Diceros bicornis minor: one gene and its partners. The protein of the gene in region 1 interacts with the protein of each later gene in a pairwise test. Links are inferred from orthologs where the notes say so. Each region holds a gene or a part of one and is shown on either strand. Other genes may lie near its edges.

Region 1 (6,958 bases):
TCATCCATTTAAAGTGTGCAATTCAATTGTCTTTAGTGTGGTCACAGAGTTGTGCAACCATCATCACAATTTTAGAACATTTTTATCACCCCCCCCGAAAAAAAACCAGTACGCATTTGCAGTCATGCCCAGTCCCTCTTCCTCCACAGCTCTAGTCAACCACTAATCTACTTTCTGTCTCTATTGATTTGCCTATTCTAGACATTTCATAGAAATGAAATCAGATGTTATGTGATCTTTTGCGACTGGCTTCTTTCACTCAGCATATTTTCAGGGCATTTCCTTTATTTTAACCATAAAGTTTGTGCCATGTATTAAAACATAAGGAAAAAAGTAAGGAGAATATTCAAGGACCACTTATGAAAAGAACTTTACTGAATACAATGGCGGATCAAGAATCAAAAACAGAAATCCAGTTCAGATGAATCTTCATCAAATATAAATTAACAGATATGAAGCGAAACTATTATACCATGTAGCAGAAAATAAGCAAACTAGGGTAAAATAAATACATTAAGGAAAATATTTTACAAAACAAATTGCTTGTCAAAGAGGACATCTTGCCTAAAAAAGGTGTAGGACAAGCGATCACAAGGTCTAATTACAGGAAGAGCAAAGAATCACTGTCTTTGTGTCTAAAAACTGCTCCAGCCAGTGTTTCTCAAAACAGGGTCCCTGGACTACCTGCAGCAAAATCATCTAAGAACTTGTTTTACAAAAATCAGATTTCTGGTCTGTGCCCCAGTCACGGAAAATGGGGCCCTGGAAACTATTTTGAATAAGAACTCCAGATGATTCTCATGAATGCTCAAGTTTGACAACTAATATCTAATTAACACAAATCAATGCAAATGATTAAATGTATGTAAGAGTCAAGAGAAGTTACAAAAGCAAAATGGATGAAAAAGAGGAAGGTGAAAAAAATACTTAAAATTTTGGCACAGTGTGCTCTGGGGAAAACATAAAGTGATATTTGAAAACTCACGCGGATTTGATGATGGAAAAAAATTCTAAATGTGTACATATGCAAGCCATTCTACTAATACCTGTGAAGGCCACTCAGGGTATGACACAGGAAAATACAAATGTAAGGTTGCGTGGTAGAGAGAGCACGTAGTAGATGAGCAAATGTTTGCTGACAATGTTAACTATTTTTATAACAAGTACAGTTATATTTAATTATCTCCAACCCAAAATCCAATAACCTAGACAAAACCAAACTTTTTGCTGTAGTAATCTTTACATGAACAGCATAAACTGTCAAATATTATGTCAGATAACTGACATGCAAGCTCAGGGCTGGGACATTTACTTTCAGACCAAGTTAATCTCTATTTTTATGGTCAGACTTACGTAAACAATGACAGGCAAAACCAGAGTTAAATTCCTCAAGACTAACAGCATTGCATGATAGAACTCAAATTTCCCTAAAAATCATGAAAATATGTATACAAGGAGAGCCTTTATTATCCTAACTGTAAGCAAAGATTTCTGAAGATGAACTATTAAGTTCTAACTCGTAATTTTACTTCAGTGAGGAAAGTCGACTTTGGTTTAGCAGGGATAAAGAAAGGAAGTTTCAATTACATAACTCTCAAAGGACCTCACTATCAGATGCAGAATTTGTCCTCCATAAAAAGCGTCTTTCCCCTATAAACCCATAAACTCAATTAAAGTGTTAAGTTGTAACATCTCTTTTGACTTACTTATTTAGATTAAGCCTTAAAATGCATTTGGAACCCCAATTATATTCCATCTAACCCTAAGATGCTGGTAATTCAACATTTCCAGACGTGATTCTTGCACATCCTATAAATGAAACAAACTGCTGGGGGAATGAAATAGCTAATGCATGCAAATAAATTACACGGGAAGTTATGCTGCTTTCAAAGGAGACTTTTATTTATTATCAGCATTTAGCTTGATATACGAAGGTCTAAGCATCTAAAAGTTCTCTATGACACTTTTTCATTTCACAGCTTATGTTTCAAAAATCAGAAACCCTAGAACTAAGTAAAGTCTTAAAGTAGGCTAAAATACGGATGGGTGAACTTCTTCACCAAGGTCTCACATTTCCTCACAAAAAGCAAACAATTTTCACTAAGCCTACCTCCCAACTCCCCAACTCCCTAGATTTCTCTCACATGCTCAGTTTGGCCTCCTCTTCACACAAGTCCAGCCCAACCCATCCACACACACCATCAGTCTCCAAGTCTCCCACACCGGCACAACAACCTCTCATCTGGTTGCTAATCCAAGGCCCTTCTTTCTTCGACTTATCTTGCACAGACTTGACATGCCTACAATCTCTTGTTCCATTTCTTCCACAACAATCACTACTCAAAGCAACCTAAGAAACAAGTCCCTTTTCCCTACCCGCAGACAGCTTCTTTAACTCTATACACCTCTTTTTTTTTTTTTTTTTTTTTTCCTTATTCTCTATCCTGCCTTTGTTATTCAGAAGGTGCAGGGTCTGGGAAAATCTCACTCACCTCATGCTATAGGCACCAGCACCCAGTTCCTGGCCGATCCCGGAGAGACTAGCATCAAAGTCCTGCACCAGCCCGGATTCAATCACTTCATCGGCCAGAGGCAGCTTCAGAGCCCAGGCCATCCTGGCTCCTTCGCTGCCCCAGGAGACACCGTTTTCTTGTACAAAGGCGAGTAGTGTGATTCTACCCACCAGGGGCAAGACTGTAGAAAACTCCAAACCAAGATCTCCCACACAGTACCTACCAGCCACCCCCAAGCCCAACCCGCACTGCCCGCACAATCTAACTAACCGCCCGTACCCTTGCCTCCTTGCTCTTGGCTGCCCCGACTGAAAACCCCTCCCACCCAGCTCTCTGGAGCCGCACGAGGGCCCCTTTGCTTAACTACTCCAGACTGCCCAGAGGCAGCCCTGGACTCCCATACTCCCACTCCTTGGGTTCGTGGTGGTCACACTGCTTTCCAAACAGACCAGCAGCGGCACGCGCCGCCTACCCGGCGCTCCCACTCCGCTCTCCCACCTCTCCCCCCGCCCCCTTCCACTGGGAGCCCCCTCCCTCCGGGGACCCGCTCTCCCTGTCCCCTCCAGGCCTGGCTTCCGGTCAGTCCCAAGATCACTTCCGGTCACCCCCGCTCAACCCCACGGCTCTTAGAACCAAATCCAGGTTTCCGCCGAGCCGACTCCCCTCCCTCTGCAGCCCCCCACGGCCTCGACACATGGAAGGGAAAAGTCCGACACCGGCGTGAAACCCAGACTCGCCGAGCTCCTCCACCGCCCGCGGCCCCAGCGCCAACCAATCATGGCGCCCTCTTCCTTTGCCGGTCCGGCGAACGTGACGTCACTCTGCCGCCCGCCAATGGGGAAGAGACGTCGTCGGCCTCGGCAGTGATGATAGGCTAGCTACGACACGGCTTCCCGCCCCCCGGAGATGGGCTGGGCAATCCGGGAGAGGGCCCGGCGTGCGTCAGGTGTCCCGGTTTAAACGTCCCTCCTTGTGGCTACCTGAGTTTTGGCATCCGCTACTTACCGAGTCGGAACCCTAAGGCGTGGGTGGAGCTTTCGCTCTAGGTGTACCGAACCCACACCCAGTCCTGGCGGACGCGTGCTCGTTTCCTCCTGAGATACTCTCTGTCCTTAGACTCACTTCTCCGGAGGTCAAGACTGCTTAAATCCGATTTCCCTTGATCATTTTACTTTCTGCCTTCTTCCTAGTGCATTTGAACAGGAAAGCATGAGATGGGTGAAAGTGTTGTGGTTTTTAAAAGGTAGTGGTCTGGGGGCCTGCCCCTGGCTTAGCGGTTAAGTGCGCGTGCTCCGCTGCTGGCGGCGGGTGTTTGGATCCCTGGGGGCGTACCAATGCACCACTTCTCCGGCCATGCTGAGGCAGCATCCCACATACAGCAACTAGAACGATGTGCAGCTATGACATACAACTATCTACTGGGGCTTTGGGGGGAAAAAATAAATAAAGTGGAGGAGGATGGGCACGGATGTTAGCCCAGGGCCAGTTTTCCTCAGCAAAAAGAGGAGGATTGGCAGATGTTAGCACAGGGCTGATCTCCTCACACACACACAAAAAAAGGTAGTGGTCTAAAGATTGGAATTTGGGCTGGCATCTTCACTTACTAGTTTGGTGACTTCAGAATAATAGCTTCATCTCATTGAGATTTAGCTTCCTCATTTGAAATGTAGGAATAACCATACCTGCACCACCTTCCTCCTTTGGGGATTAAATAATAATGTCCATTGCTTATTGGGCATTAACTATATGGCAGGAACTTTATTACATTATCAGTAATCCTCAAGACAATCTTGTGACTAGAATTATCTTTCTAAAGGTAAGTGTTATGGACCTGATTTTACCAATAAGGAGAGGAGGCTAAGGGCTTAAATTGGCCAAAGCTAAATTGGTGTGCCAACTTCAGAGTTGATTCCAAAGCCTGACATTTTTCACTACAAGGCATTGCCTATATGTGAAAGTATTGGTTCATTGTATTCCACTACTGAATTTTTTACAATCTACCTTGAATTATAATTTCGTATATATCTGCCTTTTTCTCTAGACTGTGATCTCCTAAAGAATAGGGAATAAGTCTTCTTCAGGCTTGTGTTCTTAATATCTCCTAGTATAGTTCCTGCATTCAATAGGACTTTAAAAAATACTTATTGAATTTAAAAAGGAAAGAAAGAGAGGAGAGAGGTTGACATGAAGTTGACAGCATACCCCCAGTTTCAGCTACAGTCTTCTCTCTTTGAGGGCTCTAGTCTTACCCATCTTCTTACCTTAATAAGCTCTGGCATCCAAGTCTTGGCAAAATCCTTTGTATTCAAGCAGTGTATCTAGAGTATTTTAAAACATCTATTAGGTGGAACCATGCCTTGTTTGAACAACAGCTCTGTCACTAGATGCATAATCTTGGGCAAATAACTTTACATCTCTGAGCCTCAGTACTTTAATCCATAAATTAGTGAAAATAATACCTCCTCCTAAAATTGTGAGGATTAAATGAAGTGCCAAGATGCCACAAAAATAATAATTATTCAATAAATGTTAGCTCCTGTCTCCTACTACCCCATTTCCACTTCTCTGTTAAGATTGGGTTGGTATTATCATCCTATTTAAAAACATTAATTTACATTGTATGGTGTGTTATAATTTTGGTATCACTTTAATGTATATTTAATTAAAACATAATTAAATATGTCTTATTTAATCCTCATGAAAGCGTTTGTTTTGTTTTTTTACTATGCAGAAACTGAAACTAAGAGAGGGAGAGTGTTCAAGCAGACTGCAACCTCTTTAGAAACCATCCTGAGAATTATTCTGTGATTCAGCGACTCCACTCTATATATGAACCCTAGAGAACTCTTGCACATATGTACCAGGAGACTTGTATGAGAATGTTCATGCCAACACTATTTATAGCAACAAAACAGAACAAAACAAATGTCCACCAACAAGAGAACGGATAAATTGGCGTGGGATAGAAGATTATACAGCAGTAAAAATGAATAAAACTTTAAAAAATGAATAAAGCTATACTCAACCAAGTGAATAAATCAATCTTAGAAACGTGGGGGAAAATGGGGAAGTCCTCATGCAGTGTAACATCGTTTTATAAAGCTCAAACCCCAGCAAAATTAAGCAATATATCATTTAGGGAAATATACACACATTCCTTTAAAAAAGGAAGGAAGGGGCCGGCCAGGTGGTGTAGTGGTTAGGTTCAGATCCTGGGCGCAGACCAACGCACCGCTTAACAAGCCATGCTGTGGCAGCGTCCCATATAAAGTAGAGGAAGATGGGCACAGATATTGGCCCAGGGCCAATCTTCCTCAGCAAAAAGATGAGGATTGGGAACAGAAGTTAGCTCAGGGCTGATCTTCCTCACAAAAAAAAAGGGGGGGGGGCGTGAAAAGATAAACAAGACTCTGTGGTGGCCACATATAAGAAAATGTGGTGGGGGTGGTGGGGTGCTGGTAGAGGAGGAACTCAAAAGTAGCTTCAACAGTGGTAGTTAAGTTGAGTGGTGGTGTTACGAATTTCACCTCACTCACACTCAGAGGAGCTCCAAGGAGGGGCCCACATGTGGGCCCTGTACCCACAATCTGTCCCTTCCTTGAAGGGTTCTTTCCTATTTGGTGTCGCAGATGTGAAATGACATAGAAGCTGAGAGGTCAGCGGCACAAGCTTTGTTCAATGGTCAAAGAATGGAAAAGCGGGACCTAAGTTCACAAATCCACTTGTCAGCTCCTGGGGTGATTAAGCAGCTGTTATAAGGGGTCTAGGTAATGAAGGGGAGGAATATTCATAGTTATTTGGGGAAATGGGCAGGCTTTTCTGGGGAGCGAGGGTGCCTCCTCTTTTCTTATTTGGTTATATCCTGCGGTTGCCATGGCAGTTGTAAACTGTCATGGCGTCGGTGTGTGTGTTCTGTAATGTGGTAATGTACTATAATGAGCATATGAGGAGCTGTGGGGTCTATGTCAGGTCAAGTCGGACTGCCATGTTGCCTTCAACCGGTTTTAACTGGATTTGACCTATGTCTCAGCCATCTCCTCCTTCCTCTCTTTGTGGTTTCCTGTAAGTTAAAGAGAACGTGTTAGGCTTGTTCTGAGCAGGGTTGTGGTTAACGCCTTATGAGGTCAGTGGGCCAGGTAACAGTAGATCTGTGAGTTATTATTTGTTTCATCATTTTGCTTCATAAATTACCCAAAAAGTGTGGTCTTGAATATGTAACAAATATTACGTAAATTAGCAGCTGAGCCAGGAACTACAGTCCAGGTCCCTGATTCTTATAGCTGAGATCTGCCTACAGTGATGCCTCCCTGCTGGTGGTACAGTCCTAGGAACTGTCCAGACACAGAGCAAATAATAGCTGATAATAATGACAGGCCCGTATCTACTGAGCCCTTCCTAAGTGCCAAACCCTGACTAGGTTCTTTACGTATATTATCTCATTTCAT
Region 2 (7,190 bases), on another chromosome or scaffold:
CTTATATACTATTTGTGTGATTTATCTCTCTCCATCTTTTTATTGTCAACCTCTCTATCTTTATATTTTGGATTTGTCTCAAATAGCATATGCGAGTATTTATTAATCCCATTTGACAATATTTGTTTTTCTTTTTTTTTTTAGGAAGATCAGCCCTGAGCTAACATCCATGCTAATCCTCCTCTTTTTGCTGAAGAAGACCAGCTCTGAGCTAACATCTATTGCCAATCCTCCTCCTTTTATTCCCCAAAGCCCCAGTAGATAGTTGTATGTCATAGTTGCACATCCTTCTAGTTGCTGTATGTGGGACACGGCCTCAGCATGGCCGGAGAAGCGGTGCGTCGGTGCGCGCCCGGGATCCAAACCCAGGCCGCCAGTAGCAGAGCGTGCGCACTTAACCGCTAAGCCACGGGGCCGGCCCCGATATTTGTTTTTTTTAACTTGAGCATTTAGCTCATAAACATTTAATAAAATTACTGATATATTTGGGTTTCAAACTACCATTTATTTTGTGCTTGTATTGGTTCCATCTATGTTTCTTTCACTTCTTCTTTCTTGACTTTTGAAAAAAAACTGAGAATATTTTTCTGTTATTCAATTATTTTCCCTCTCTACTAGTTTGGAAATTTTCATCCTATTGCTATTATTTTAATAGTTACATCCTATTAATTCCTACATGCATAATTATCATATCAAAGTGTAAATTTAATAAATATCTAAATCACTTCCGATATAATACAAGGGCCTTAGAAAAGTTGAACTCCATTTATGCTCCTCCTGATGTCTTTTGTTATTGTATGGTACTTTAAGTTTATTTTTAAAAAACAGAATAGATGTTTTTGTGATTCCTTCTTCCGTCAATATTCACTTACATTGCCCACATACTATCACTTTCCTTGCTCTTCATTCCTTCCTGCATTTCATTCTTCAAAGATCATTTTCCTCCTGAAGTACATCCTTTAGAATTTCCATTCGTGCAGTCTGCTGGTGACAAACTCTCTTCGGTTTTGTTTGTCTAAAAATATCTTTATTTCACCCTCTTGCTGAATATTTTCGTGAAAGATGCCGTCCTTGGGGTCCCAGCTTAGCATGGGCAGGATCTCCCACAAGCATCCCCATCCAAGCTTTGACTTCCGATGAGTCAGAGCCCTAGTGTGAAGTGCCTGCACGCCTTCAGCTCCTTGGATGGGAGAACAACGTCTATCTTAATAGAGTTGCCAGAGGTGTTTAAATGAGATAACAGATGGAAAATTCCTGAAACAGAGGAGGAAGGCAGCCAAAGGTAGCCATTATGGTTTCAATTGAAAGCTTTAGCTCCTAACTTTCACATTTTTAAATTTTATATTTTTGCAATTGGAAAATAAAATGTGGCCTCCTTAGAGCCACCAGAGTCTGAATCTTTGCAATTGGAAGTGTCCCCTGACATCCTGCAACGTGAGGCCAGAGATAAGGGATGCTCAATATCCAACTGGAGCCAGCTTAGCAAATCTCCTCGCAGCCCCTCATGGAGAGACCTTCGCTTTGTGCTAATGACCCAACCCAGGCACCTGATACACAATCCATTGCCTTTCAACATTTTTGTCAGAGCTCTGAGGTCTAGTCTTTGTCTTTTTTGATGCCACCATGTCCAACTGCAGATCACCTGGATTGGTGATGAAGCCATTTAAATTAGAGGTCAGGGTCATATGTCACAGCACTGGGGAGTCAAAGGAAGAGTCTAAAGGTAACAAATAAGCTAATGCCAGCATCATCCCTGACTCTGCAAGATGACCAACCTGCCTTCTCTCTACCTCCACCACCCTTCACCACCACCACCACCCCACTGTTCCATCCACAAGAGAAAGGCCACAGTCCTGAGATGGAAAGTACTTCGTTTCCAAATTTGGACGGTCTACTCTAAGGAGTTCTAAGTATTGAGACTGGAAATAAGAAAGCAGAAAGGAGCAGGTGAATTACCTTGGCAGGCTAAAGATGAACCCAACAGTGGCTGAAGGGCATTAGACTGTTCACTTGCTTCCAAGCATCAGCAGTGAAGAACAAGCAACAGCAACAACTTTGCACTTGGGAAGTCCACTTGTGCAGTGCATGCCACCACCACCCTGACCCCCCAAAATCTCCACAGGGACCTCCTAGCCACATTCTATATGAGGGAAAGAAGACATGCTTTCCCATAACCCAGTAAGTGTTCCCAGTAAGGGAAAATAGAGTGTTATGGGCTGAGTTGTGTCCCTCCAAAGTTCATATGTGGAAGCCCTAACTCCCAGTACCTCCAGAATGTGGCTATACTTGGAGATAGGGCCTTTAAAGAGGTGATTAAGTTAAAATGAGGCCATGAGGGTGGGTCCTAATCCAATTTGACAGGGGTCCTTATAAGAAGAGGAAATTTGGACATCAGGGACTCCAGCGCACAGAGAGACGATCCTGTGAAGAGGCAGCAAGTGGGCGGCTATCTGCAAGCCAAGGAGAGAGGCCTCAGGAGAAACCAGGCCTGTGAGCGCCTTGATCTTGGACTTCCAGCCTCCAAAACCGTGAGAAAATAAATTTCTGTTGTTTAAGCCACTCAGTCTGTGATACTTTGTTATGACAACCCTAGCAAACTAATACATGGAGCCACTGCTTTCATGGCTCATTCACTCCAGACAGCCCTGCATGCCATTTCCATGGAGTTGCTCCTTCTCTGGGGCCAGTGATGCCAAATGCAGCAAAGGAGAGGTCCCCTCAAAAGCTCACAGAAGGGGAACCTATCAACCTTTCCTCGAGTCGAGAAATGAAAGAGCTATATCAGCAGCAGAGAGCTGTGGTTCAGGGATCTAGTCAAATTGTTTCATTCCTCACACTTCTTTCACAACTACAAATTGAAGGAGGAAGGTATTAACGAAAAAAGATTTTTTAACCACAGACCCATTTAAAAATCTACAAAGCTATGGACTCAGAAAAATACAGAGTCTATATTAGTCGCCTATGGCTGCCGTAACAAATTATCACAAACTTGGTGGCTTAAAACAAGAGAAATTTATTCTTTCATAGTTCTAGAGGCCAAAAGTTCAACACCAATTTATCTGGGCTGAATTCACGGTATGGGCAGGGATGTACTCTGTTCCTTGCCCCTTCCAGTTTCTGGTGGCTGCCAGCATGCCTTTGCCTCTGTCTTCACATCACCTTCTCTTCTGTGTGCATCAGCTCTCTCTCTCCTTTTTCTTATAAGGACACTTGTGATTGGATTTAGGGCCCATTCAGATAATCCAGGATAATCTCCCCATGTCAAGATCCTTAATTTAACCACATATGCAAAGACTCTTTTACTTTATAAGTTAACATTTACAGGTTCCAGGGATTAGGACTTGATATATTTGGGTGACCATTATTCAGCCTCCTAAAGAGTCCAAAATCTTTGCATACAATTTCAGGAAGATCATGGTCCCAGGTAGGAACATCTCCTCTGGAATTGCATTTCACCACAGATATGCTGTGAACAGATACATTGGAGGGAGGTCCATTTACTTATTCCACATCCTCTCCACACCTCAAAATCAACTACAGAGCTGTTTAAAAATACAAAATACAAAATCACACTCCCAACTCTAGTCCTAGTAAATCAGAATCCTCCAGGAATCTGCATTTCTAACAAGCTCCCCAAAATGATTCTGACGCAGCCAGCCTTGCAGCCTTACTACTTTAGGGAATATTGGTTACCAGCCTGGGTGTCTAACTCACCTCAATGTCAAATAGACATACTGCCGCCTCCTTCACAGTAAAAGAGGAGATGTCTGTGCAAGCCTGTTTGCACAAAGACTTTTTTTGCACAAGAAAGCTCTAATGCTCTTTTTCTGATCCCCTTCCCCTATACAAAGGTGAAGAACTTTGATTTCGATCGCACCTCGTGTTTAATGCACCTGGCCTCAAGGCGCGGAGTTGAACCAAGGGAGAGAGGGAGAAGGGAAGAGTCGCAAACTCCTCCAGTCGGTGCAACCAAGCTGCACTTGACACCCCAAGAACCTGCTGCCCACCCACCACCCCCTCTGGTGTATATTTGCAACTGGCCCGAGGCTGCCCGGGGACCCCGCCTCCGCGCCCCGCTGATTGGCCGCGCTGGCCTGTTCGTCACGCTCTTTTGTCTCAGTGGGCAGAGGATAAAAGCAGCGGCGGCTGCCGTGGGAACCGTGCTGCCTCGACTCGGCTACCCCTCTCTGGGCGGCCTTGCGGAGCAGCTCCGCCCGGCAGTCCCAGGTCGCTTAGCGGCCAAAGAGGCGCCGGTCCTTTTCCCCTGCAGGGCCGCGGAGACCGGAGGAGGAATCTACGGCTGTCAACGCGGAAGTGTCAGCTACCCACCGGCCCAGCACAGGTAAAGAAAGAGGGCGCGATTGCCCGGCGCGGAGAGAGGAGGGGGAAGCCCCACCAGGACTGGGCGGCTCCCCGCTTGGGGAATCGAGAACTGCGAGGCAGAGGAAGGCGCACTCCCTTGGCCGGGCTGCGCTGAGGGAGGAGGTGGGGTTCCAGTGGATGCTGCCCAATGGGTAGGATTTGCCTGGATTGAGAGGGGGGAATTTTACCGGGTTGGGAAGAGGCGAGGGGGGAGAAATTGTAAGCTGTCTGCCTTGAACCCCCTTTGCAGGTCCTCATCTCTTCTTGGGGAAGAAAATATAGGTGTGCGTGTCCAACTCCTATTCCCTTTCTCCGTGGCAGGCCATCAACGCCGAATCCCAACTTGAATTCTGTGCGGCTGATTGCCGAGCTGGTAGGCCGACGGTTTCCCGGGGGAAATGTAACGGGGCGGGGGTCGTTTTGGCTTGTATTCAAAAGGTGGGAGAGGGGATTTTCCGCCTGGCTACAGCAGAGGCAACGGGGGGCGCGGGAGAGGGAGGGAGCGGGATGAGGCTGCTTCTGACCCTTCCCTCCCCCGCCCTGCCCTCCCCTCCGCGGCGTCGCAGTCTTGACGCTCGGAGGTCCGGGATCGGCGACCCCCGGTGGACAAAGGTCGACTGTACCTTGGAGGCGAGCTTTCTCATGGAGGCCACAGGTTGCAGAGGCTGGAAGTGAAATAAAGGCGCGCGCTTGTTCCTGAGCTCCTGTAAGAATCTGCGAAATAACGGGGGGGGGGGGGGTGGACGGACTTGGAGAAGGGGGTGTGGTAGAGACCTGAGACCGTGAGGTTAATGAGATCTTATTTATTCCCACAAAGCTGTGCCCATTGTGCTCTATTTTGAGAGCCCAATGTCAGCTCCATACACTATTACACTTAGAGTTAGAAGCAACAGTTGCCTCTTGAAGGACTGGCGGGAGGGGATGCTTGTGGCTGTAAAAGCACCCGGAGACACCGGCTGGCTCTGTGAAAATGCAATTGCCCGTCTCCAGGAGGATATTTTTAGGGCAGTGGGCAGATATAAAACGTACTGGAGGATATTCAGGAAGGGAGAGAATACGGCTGCGGCCAGTTCCCTTATTAACCCCTCCTCCCGTTTTTTTTCTTTTTTACAGTCTCTACTGAGATTGGATGAAAGCACTGACCCCCGGCACACCTGCAGATTAGGCTTTTCCAAAAAGCCTGAACATCTTGTTATATTCACATACCCAGTCATCGTCAGACATGGCCAGCATCATTGCACGCGTGGGTAATAGCCGGCAGCAGAAGGCACCCTTGCCGCCTTGGGCTCATTATATGCTGAGGTCCCTGGGAAGGAGTCTTGGTCCTTTAATGGCCAACATGGCAGAGAAGAACATGAAGTTGTTCTCTGGGAGGGTGGTGCCAGCGCAGGGGGAAGAAACCTTTGAAAACTGGCTGATCCAGGTCAACGGGGTCCTGCCAGATTGGAATATGTCTGAGGAGGAAAAGCTCAAGCGCTTGATGAAAACCCTTAGGGGCCCTGCCCGGGAGGTCATGCGTTTGCTCCAGGCGGCCAACCCCAACCTAAGTGTGGCAGATTTCTTGCGCGCCATGAAATTGGTGTTTGGGGAGTCTGAAAGCAGTGTGACTGCTCAAGGTAAATTTTTTAACACTCTGCAGGCACAAGGGGAGAAAGCCTCCCTTTATGTGATCCGTTTAGAGGTGCAGCTCCAGAATGCTATTCAGGCAGGGGTCATAGCTGAGAAAGATGCAAACCAGACTCGCCTGCAGCAGCTCCTTTTAGGGGCTGAGCTGAATGGGGACCTGCGCTTCAGGCTGAAGCATCTTCTCAGGATGTATGCAAATGAGCAGAAGCGTCTTCCTAATTTCCTGGAGTTAATCAAGATGATAAGGGAGGAAGAGGATTGGGATGACACTTTTATGAAACAGAAGCGGGCCAAGAGATCTGAGTCAATGGTGGAGAGAGCAACCAGCCCAGTGGCATTTGAGGGCTCCCCACCAATAGAGAGCGGCAGTGCTAACTGCAATGTGATAGAGATAGATGATACCCTCGATGACTCAGATGAGGATGTGATCCTAGTGGAGTCTCAGGACCCTCCACTTTCACTCTTGAGTTCTCCTCCCCCCAGATGCAGGGCCAGACCTCAGGATCCAGTGCTAGTCATTGATTCCCCCAACAGTTCCCGGGCTCAATCTCCTTCTACCAGTGGTGGGTCTGGGTCCAAGAATGATGGTCCTGGGGATATGCGTAGAGCCAGAAAGCGAAAATTCACAATCCGCTGTTCATATTGTGGCGAGGAGGGCCACTCAAAGGAAACCTGTGACAATGAGAGCAACAAGGCCCAGGTGTTTGAGAATCTGATCATCACCCTGCAGGAGCTGACACATACAGAGGAGGAGGGGTCAAGAGAGGCCCCTGGCGAACCCGATGATCCTTCTGAGCCACAGTGAGGAGCTAGCCTCCAGCCTTAAATGAACCCTAACCCATATTCAGAGTCCAGCAATGGGAAAACTGGGGGGGGGGGTGCTTCTAATTGCATGAATTAATCCACAAAGGTGCTGTCTTTTGGGGTGGAGGAGAAAAGTCTTGGATACCAGCACAGTGGAGGGAGATGGGCTGACCTCTGTCCTTTCTCTTCACCCCTCCTCCCCCGCTGCCTAAGAGTCTTTTTTCTGTGTGCCCATTTCCTTGATGGCTTTATTCTCATTGTGAAAGTGATACAATTCATTGTTAAATATTCCAACAATAAAGAAAAGTACAAAAGTACAAACCTTCCACCCTTATAGAACCACTGTCAACCCTTTGATGAATGTTCTTCTAGATATTTCCCTATACCTATGTACCCAG
Region 3 (7,154 bases), on another chromosome or scaffold:
TAGAATAAAGGAATAGTCTGCTTAAAGACTGGTAAAGTGTTCATCCTCGCGAAGGGCCGGCCCCGTGGCTTAGCGGTTAAGTGCGCGTGCTCCACTGCTGGCGGCCTGGGTTCGGGTCCCGGGCGCCCACTGATGCACCGCTTCAGTGCCACGCTGAGGCAGTGTCCCACATACAGCAACTAGAAGGATGTGCAGCTATGACATACAATAATCTACTGGGGCTTTGGGGGGGAAAATAAATAAATAAATACAATTATAAAAAAAAAAAAAAAGTGTTCATCCTCGCCAGAGAGAAATTACTTGCAGCTTTCACAAGAGTTTTTAATTTTTTCAGCTTCTACTCATTAAAGTTTACAAAATTTAGCATCTGAATTTTAGCCAGGGTCCTCTGGACAAAGCTGAGGGTCCCTCAAGCTCATGGGCCTCAATGGGAAACAGCTATATTGACTTGGTCTTGCCACTGAAAAAGCAAGTTGTTATCGTATTGTGTGTGTGTGTGTCTGGCCCCTGTGTTGAACTCTCTAGAAGCTTTTTTTTTTTTAATTTTATTTATTTATTTTTGCCCCCATAGCCCCAGTAGATAGTTGTATGCCATAGCTGCGCATCCTTCTAGTTGCTCTATGTGGGTCGCGGCCTCAGCATGGCTGGAGAAGCGGTGCGTCGGTGCACGCCCGGGATCCGGACAGGGCCAGCCAGCAGCAGAACGCTCGCACTTTAACCGCTAAACCACGTGGCCGGCCCTCTAGAAGCTTTTAACTAATTCTTTTTTTTTTTTTTTTGTGAGGAAGATCAGCCCTGAGCTAACATCCATGCCAATCCTCCTCTTTCTGCTGAGGAAGACTGGCCCTGGGCTAACATCCATGCCCATCTTCCTCCACTTTATGTGGGACACTGCCACGGCATGGCCTGACAAGCAGTGTGTCCCTGTGCACCCAGGATCTGAACCCGGGTCACCAGCAGCAGAGCACCCCCATTTAACCACTACGCCACGGGGCCGGCCCCTTAACTAATTCTTTAGGCTTTCCAGGTGTGCGACCAAATCATCACAAATAATGTCATTGCTTCCTCCTTTCGATTTGTTATATCTCATTCTGTCTCTTGCCTTTTCACATTTGCTATAATGCAGTTTCTTTTAAAATTAGCTGGCAAAAAATCTGAGTATTATTTTGTGGGAAACTTGAAAATTTGAGAATAAAGCTCACCTAGGAAAATAAATGCCTAGGAGCAATAAGGAAAATTGAGGAGAAAGAAAGATTAATGAGGAGGGACTTGCCTTATCAGATATCAAAATATCCTATAAAACCATGGAAATTAAAACTATGAAACAAATACTGGCACAAATACATCTTTGGAAGAAAATAGAATGTCCAAACAAACTAAATTTGTACATATTTGGTACATGAGAGACTGGCATTTCAAATCAGTAAAGAAGTGATAGATTATTTAGTAAATGGTATTTCAAAAACTAAAAATTAGGATTAAGAATATAACCATAATTGTAATTAAAAAATTACAATAAAATACAAGAAAAAAATTTAATAATCTTTTTTTTAAAGATTTTATTTATTTATTTTTTCCCCCCAAAGCCCCAGTAGATAGTTGTATGTCACAGCTGCATATCCATCTAGTAGCTGTATGTGGGACGCGGCCTCAGCGTGGCCAGAGAAGTGGTGCGTCGGCGCGCGCCCGGGATCCGAACCTGGGCCGCCAACAGCAGAGCGTGGGCACTTAACCGCTAAGCCACGGGGCCGGCCCTAAATTTAATAATCTTAAACATAGGGGCCGGCCCCGTGGCATAGCGGTTAAGTTTGAGTGCTCCACTTTGGCGGCCTGGGGTTCCCCGGTTCGGATCCTGGGCATGGACTTACTGCTCATCAAGCCATGCTGAGGCAGCATCCTACATAGAAGAACTAGAAGGATGTACAACTATGACATACAGCTATCTACTGGGGCTTTGGGGAGAAAAAAAAAAAGGAAAAAATGACGAAGATTGGCAACACATGTTAGCTCAGAGCCAGTCTTCCTCAGAAAAAAGAATAATCTTAGACATAAAAGGCCATACTAAGCATGAGCCAAATCTAGGGACCTATAAAGGAAAAGATTGTTAAAAATGCCTATACAAAAATTTAATGCCTCTGTACAGGGTAAATGATCACAAAGTTAAAACACAACAGACAAAATAGGAAAAATATTTGTAAAATATAAAACAGCATTTATATGTAAAATATTAAAAGTTTCTACAAATCAATATTAAAAAGATAAAAATCCAATAGAAAAATAGGCAAAGAATTTGAACAGATAATTCATGAAAGAAGTACAGTCTTCAACAATCATATGAAATGTATTTAACCTCACCAATAATATATCATATTGGCTTATTAGATAGGCAAAAGTTTAAAAGTTTGACCATTCTCAATTCTGGTGAGAAAGTAGGATTTGGTTGCACAACCTATTTAAAAGACAATAGGTAATATATATCAAAATTAAAAGCACACATATCCTTTGACCCAGCAATTCTACTTCTAGGAAGGAAGTCATCTTACAGAAACATAGGTGAACGCTTAAAAATCCATTCATTCCATCTTTGTGGTAAATGGTCTAATGGTTCAACAATAGGGCACTGATTGGATAAATTGTGGAATATCCATATAATCTACATAAAGTAATACATAAAAAGAATGAATTAGATCTGTATGTGCTGATATGGGAAAAGATGTCCATAAGCACATTGAGGAATGAAGGAAGCAAACTGAAGAACAGAATAGTTGGTAAGATTCCATTTTTTTAAGAACAAGATGTGCTCAAAGGTCACATGACATCACCTTCTCTAGCTCCCAATGGTAAATCTCTCTTTACCTCCTTACCCTGAATCATTTTTCTTCAGAGTATTTATGTTCATTGGACATTGCCTTTGTTTATTGTCTCTAGAAAGCTCCATGTGTACAAGGACTTTATTTGTTCAGTGCTCTATCCCCAGTTCCCAAAACAGTTTAGGTGTTCGATAAACAGTAATTGAAAAAAATGAATGGGGACTCATAAATATGCACACATATATATTTCAAAAAGTTATATATAGTTCAAAGAACGTGGATTTAAGGGAATAAAATCTCCATGATCTGATACTAAATGCTAAAATATCCTAAAATAATTAATATTTGTCTAGGGCCGGCCCCGTGGCTTAGTGGTTAAATGCGCGCGCTCTGGTGCTGGCGGCCCGGGTTCGGATCCTGGGCACACACCAACGCACCGCTTCTCCAGCCATACTGAGGCCGTGTCCCACGTACAGCAGCTAGAAGGATGTGCAGCTATGACATACAACTATCTGCTGGGGCTTTGGGGGAAAATAAATAAATAAATAAATAAATAAAATTAAAAAAAATATATATATATTTGTCTAATCTTTTCCCAGTTGACAAAGCAGCTTTACTTAGTCTCATTTGGTTCTTGTAAAATCCCTATGAAATACATAAAAATAGAAATAATTAACATATATTTGCACTTTATGGTTTGCTAAAGTCAGTCTTTCAGTTGATGGTCCCAATCCTGTTCTACTCATTCCTTTTTTTTTTTTTTTTTTGGTGAGGAAGACTGGCCCTGGGCTAACATCCATGCCCATCTTCCTCTACTTTATATGTGGGACGTCTGCCACAGCATGGCTTGATAAGCAGGGCATAGGTCCGTGCCCTGGATCTGGGCCTGCCAACCGGAGGCGGCTGAAGCAGAGTGTGCGAACTTAACCACTATGCCACCTGGCTGGCCCCAACTGATTCCTTTTTATTTTGCTCTCCAGACTACTTCTAGTTTTCTGAACACTGCACAGTTTTATTCATATATATATGACTATATATTCATAAAATATATATACTTCCCTCACTTGAGAATGTTTTTCTCTGCCTCTCCACTCAATTTACGCGTACCCATCCTTCAAAACCCTGTACAGGCTGGACAAATGGCCTCACTTCTCTTCCTCAACCTAGAGACCCACACAGCAGACACAACACCCCAGCCTCCCACCCATTACTAGCCCCAAAGGTTGTCCCGAAGGCCCGAGACGCCGGCCAGGCTCCGCCCACGCCTGTGGCCGGCGGGTTCGAAGCCCCCGCCCCCACCGAGGGGTTTCCCAGCATGCAGCGCGGCAGGCCTCAGCCGCGCTAACATGGCGACTCCCATGCATCGGCTCATAGCCCGGAGACGAGCGTAAGTGAGGGCCGGAGTCGGGCTGCGGGGCGGGCTGGGGGCGGGGAGAAGCGCGTCAGCCGGCGGGTGAACGGGCGCCGGGATGCCGGGCCGGCGTGGGATCCTCAGTAGGGAGCGGCAGAGGGTGGCCGTTTTTTCTCGCAAGTTGCCTGCTCCTAAGGGGCTCGGGCTCGGGCCCGGGCGATAAGTTTGGTGCCCATGGGGTAGCGATTTCGTGAACTACGGCTGCGTAAGGTCCGCGGTGCAGGATCTAGGGGGTGTCTGAAGAAAGCCTCGCGTTTGGTTCTCACGAAGGGGACGCCCAGGAGTTGGTCCGTAAGTGGTTTATGCCCCTCTGCCACCCACCTGGCCACCCCATTCGTAGCCAAGAGAAGACTGAAGCCCTGATCCGACACCCCCGACTCTCGCCGACGTAAACCTTCAGCTCCCTAAGCAACCTCCAGCCCCGCTGGCTTTTCCTACCCACTTCCTCTCGCCTGTTCCTCGGGAACAGCCCGACTACAACGCCGATTTTTCTCACAAGCTGTAGTCTCACTTTCTACCATTCGTTTTCTTCAATAAATATTAATTTATTCATTGCCTGCTGCTTCCTGCCAGAATTGGGATCTAAAGAAAAAGAGGTGTTCAAGACATAATTCCTGCTTTCAGGGAGCTTACGTTCTAGTGGTGGAAAGAATCGGTAAACTAAACATTTTAAGTAAATCCAGTTGGTGATAAGAGCTTTGAAGGAAATAAGAGGTGATGGAAAAAATGAAAGGCCCAAGTTAAGTTGGTTGGACTGGAAAGGCATCTCTGAAGAGGTGGCATTTGAACAGAGATCAAAAGTGTGAGAAAGCCAGTCATGAGAGGATTTGGGGAAAGAGCATCCAGACAGTGGCATAATTGCTTTGAGGCAGGAAAGAGCCTAGTTTTTAAGAACTGAAAGATGGCTATTGTGGCTAATGAGTGAGAGAGTGGCACAGAAGTTTGCTGTGGTCAGATAATGTGGTAGTCATCTCAGATGCCCCTTTCTTATAAAGCCTTTTTTCTTCTGCCAACCTGTACACCCAAACAATGTCTGTCACTTTTTCATTCTCTCAGCATTTCATATCATCACCATTTACACGCCTATAATATATTGCTCACAGTCTGCTAGCATATATATGTATGTTATATTTCTTTTTATATTTATATTTTTTATCTTAAGATCCGTGTTCCTTCTCTTCTCGCTCCATTCCACTCTACCTCTCATGCCTGATGAGGAGAATTTGTTGAGCATAAGGATAAAGACTTGGGGTCAGAGTAGTATGCTTGGTGGAGGAAGAAGGCTTTGAAGTCAGACAGTTCTGAGATCAAGAATGGAGTGATGATAATACTTAATGGGCATGCTAAATGACGTCACCACGGTCTAACTTTCAGATTTGCCCTTTTGGGTGTTGGTTCCATACTTAGATAGATTTACTCCTTTGGTCCCAGGATGGCTGCAGTATCTAGGATCCTGTATATCCCCTCAGCTTCAGGTTGATGGCATCTCATTGATCTAGATTGGGTTACATGCCCAACCCTAAACCATGTCTGTGAGATTGTGAAGCTCTGATTGACTTAGATCTAGTTCTCTTCCCAGCACAATTGAATGGATCTCTATAAACCAATGATGAGCTGGGTGGGTAGGTCAGAGGAGGTCATGAATGCTGGATTGGCAGAACCAACCAATGTGCACTGTAAATATGAAGTGAAAGTGAGACTTTTAGCACCTAAAGAATATCGCACCATTTCTTGTTTTGTAAGTCTTAGAAAGTTGAACAGGTGTTCCGTTTCTGCAATCTGCCTGTATTTGGTACAGGAGCTACACAGAAGTAAAAGACAAATCTTAGCGTTAGGAGCTTCTGATCTTGTTGGGAAGAAAACATATGGTGTATAATAAAAAGTGTCATGGTATACAGACTATATAAGTCCCTAGGGAGTCAGAGAGGGAGGGCCTTTAGAGGCTAGGGGAGTCCAGGAGAGTTTGGGAATATCTGGGGGGGGGGGGGAAACAGAAGAGGAGACTTTACTTTTCTTTCTTTCTTTCTTTCTTTTTGCTGAGGAAGATTCGCCCTGAGCTAACATCTGTGCCAGTCTGCCTCTATTTTTTAGTATGTGGGCCACCAGCACAGCATGGCTGCTAACAGAGTGGTGTAAGGCCCATGCCCGGGAACCGAGCCCAGGCTGCTGAAGTGGAGCATGCCGACCTTAACCACTAGACCACCAGGGCTGGCCTTACTTTTCATTTTATATTCATCAAAAAGGTTTAATTTTATTTATAAGGAGTATATATTACTTCCGTAATAATAAATTTTAAACTTTTTAAGTTATGGGAAATGAGAAAGCACTATTGTCATTCTTTTTAAGTCTTTGGACTAATAGAGGAAAGAGGGAAATAAAAGAAAAAAAGAGAGAGCTTAAATTTGAACTCCCCATTCAGCAGATCTTTCAGGCACTTAACTTTAAATCAATCGAAATGAGATTATTTTCACTTTTTAAATTGTAATTACATCTACTCATATGTGAGTAGATTGTAGAATCTTGGTACTATCTGGGGTCGTTTCTTCTGCTAAACCCTCTGCTGGATTCTACTGCTCTCTCTTCAGTATCCAGAGTAATATCTAACTTTGGCTAGAAGACCTCCAGTAAGGACATACCTCCTGAAGTAGCCTGTTTCATTTTCCAAATTTATCAAAAAGTTTATATTGAGCTGAAAGGAAAATAATATTGATGAAGCTAAACCTGCTGCCTTCTAACGTCCCAGCTTTTGACCTAAGCTATAATTTCTGTCAGTTAAAAACCCTAAGTGTTTTCCACTTGAATTGCCCTCAAGTCAAGCTTCCCCGGTCTTGTATTTGTATTGGTTTTCTGGACTTGTGTCCGACTTACTTTTACCCTTGTTAAATTTCATCTTGTTAGATTCGACACTAATTTCCAGCCTGTCAAGACTTTTT

What was found.
Region 2: the proteins of TFCP2 (region 1) and ZCCHC12 interact in binary tests that used the Homo sapiens proteins (3 or more experiments, as listed by UniProt). The two-hybrid records come from large-scale screens. The link is inferred for Diceros bicornis minor from reciprocal best matches to the Homo sapiens genes TFCP2 and ZCCHC12.
Region 3: the proteins of TFCP2 (region 1) and ZCCHC10 interact in binary tests that used the Homo sapiens proteins (3 or more experiments, as listed by UniProt). The two-hybrid records come from large-scale screens. The link is inferred for Diceros bicornis minor from reciprocal best matches to the Homo sapiens genes TFCP2 and ZCCHC10.

The regions. Positions count from the first base shown.
Region 1 is NC_080756.1:18,723,380-18,730,337, reverse strand, and holds the start of TFCP2 (alpha-globin transcription factor CP2), read right to left. Parts: upstream 3,022-6,958; 5' UTR 2,615-3,021; coding exon 2,493-2,614; intron 1-2,492.
Region 2 is NC_080781.1:109,511,261-109,518,450, forward strand, and holds the start of ZCCHC12 (zinc finger CCHC domain-containing protein 12), read left to right. Parts: upstream 1-4,173; 5' UTR 4,174-4,342; intron 4,343-4,683; 5' UTR 4,684-4,735; intron 4,736-4,752; exon of another isoform or gene 4,753-4,800; intron 4,801-4,928; 5' UTR 4,929-5,068; intron 5,069-5,475; 5' UTR 5,476-5,584; coding exon 5,585-6,793; 3' UTR 6,794-7,190. UniProt on the Homo sapiens protein: Transcriptional coactivator in the bone morphogenetic protein (BMP)-signaling pathway. It positively modulates BMP signaling by interacting with SMAD1 and associating with CBP in the transcription complex.
Region 3 is NC_080740.1:52,289,401-52,296,554, reverse strand, and holds the start of ZCCHC10 (zinc finger CCHC domain-containing protein 10), read left to right. Parts: upstream 1-4,137; 5' UTR 4,138-4,156; coding exon 4,157-4,197; intron 4,198-7,154.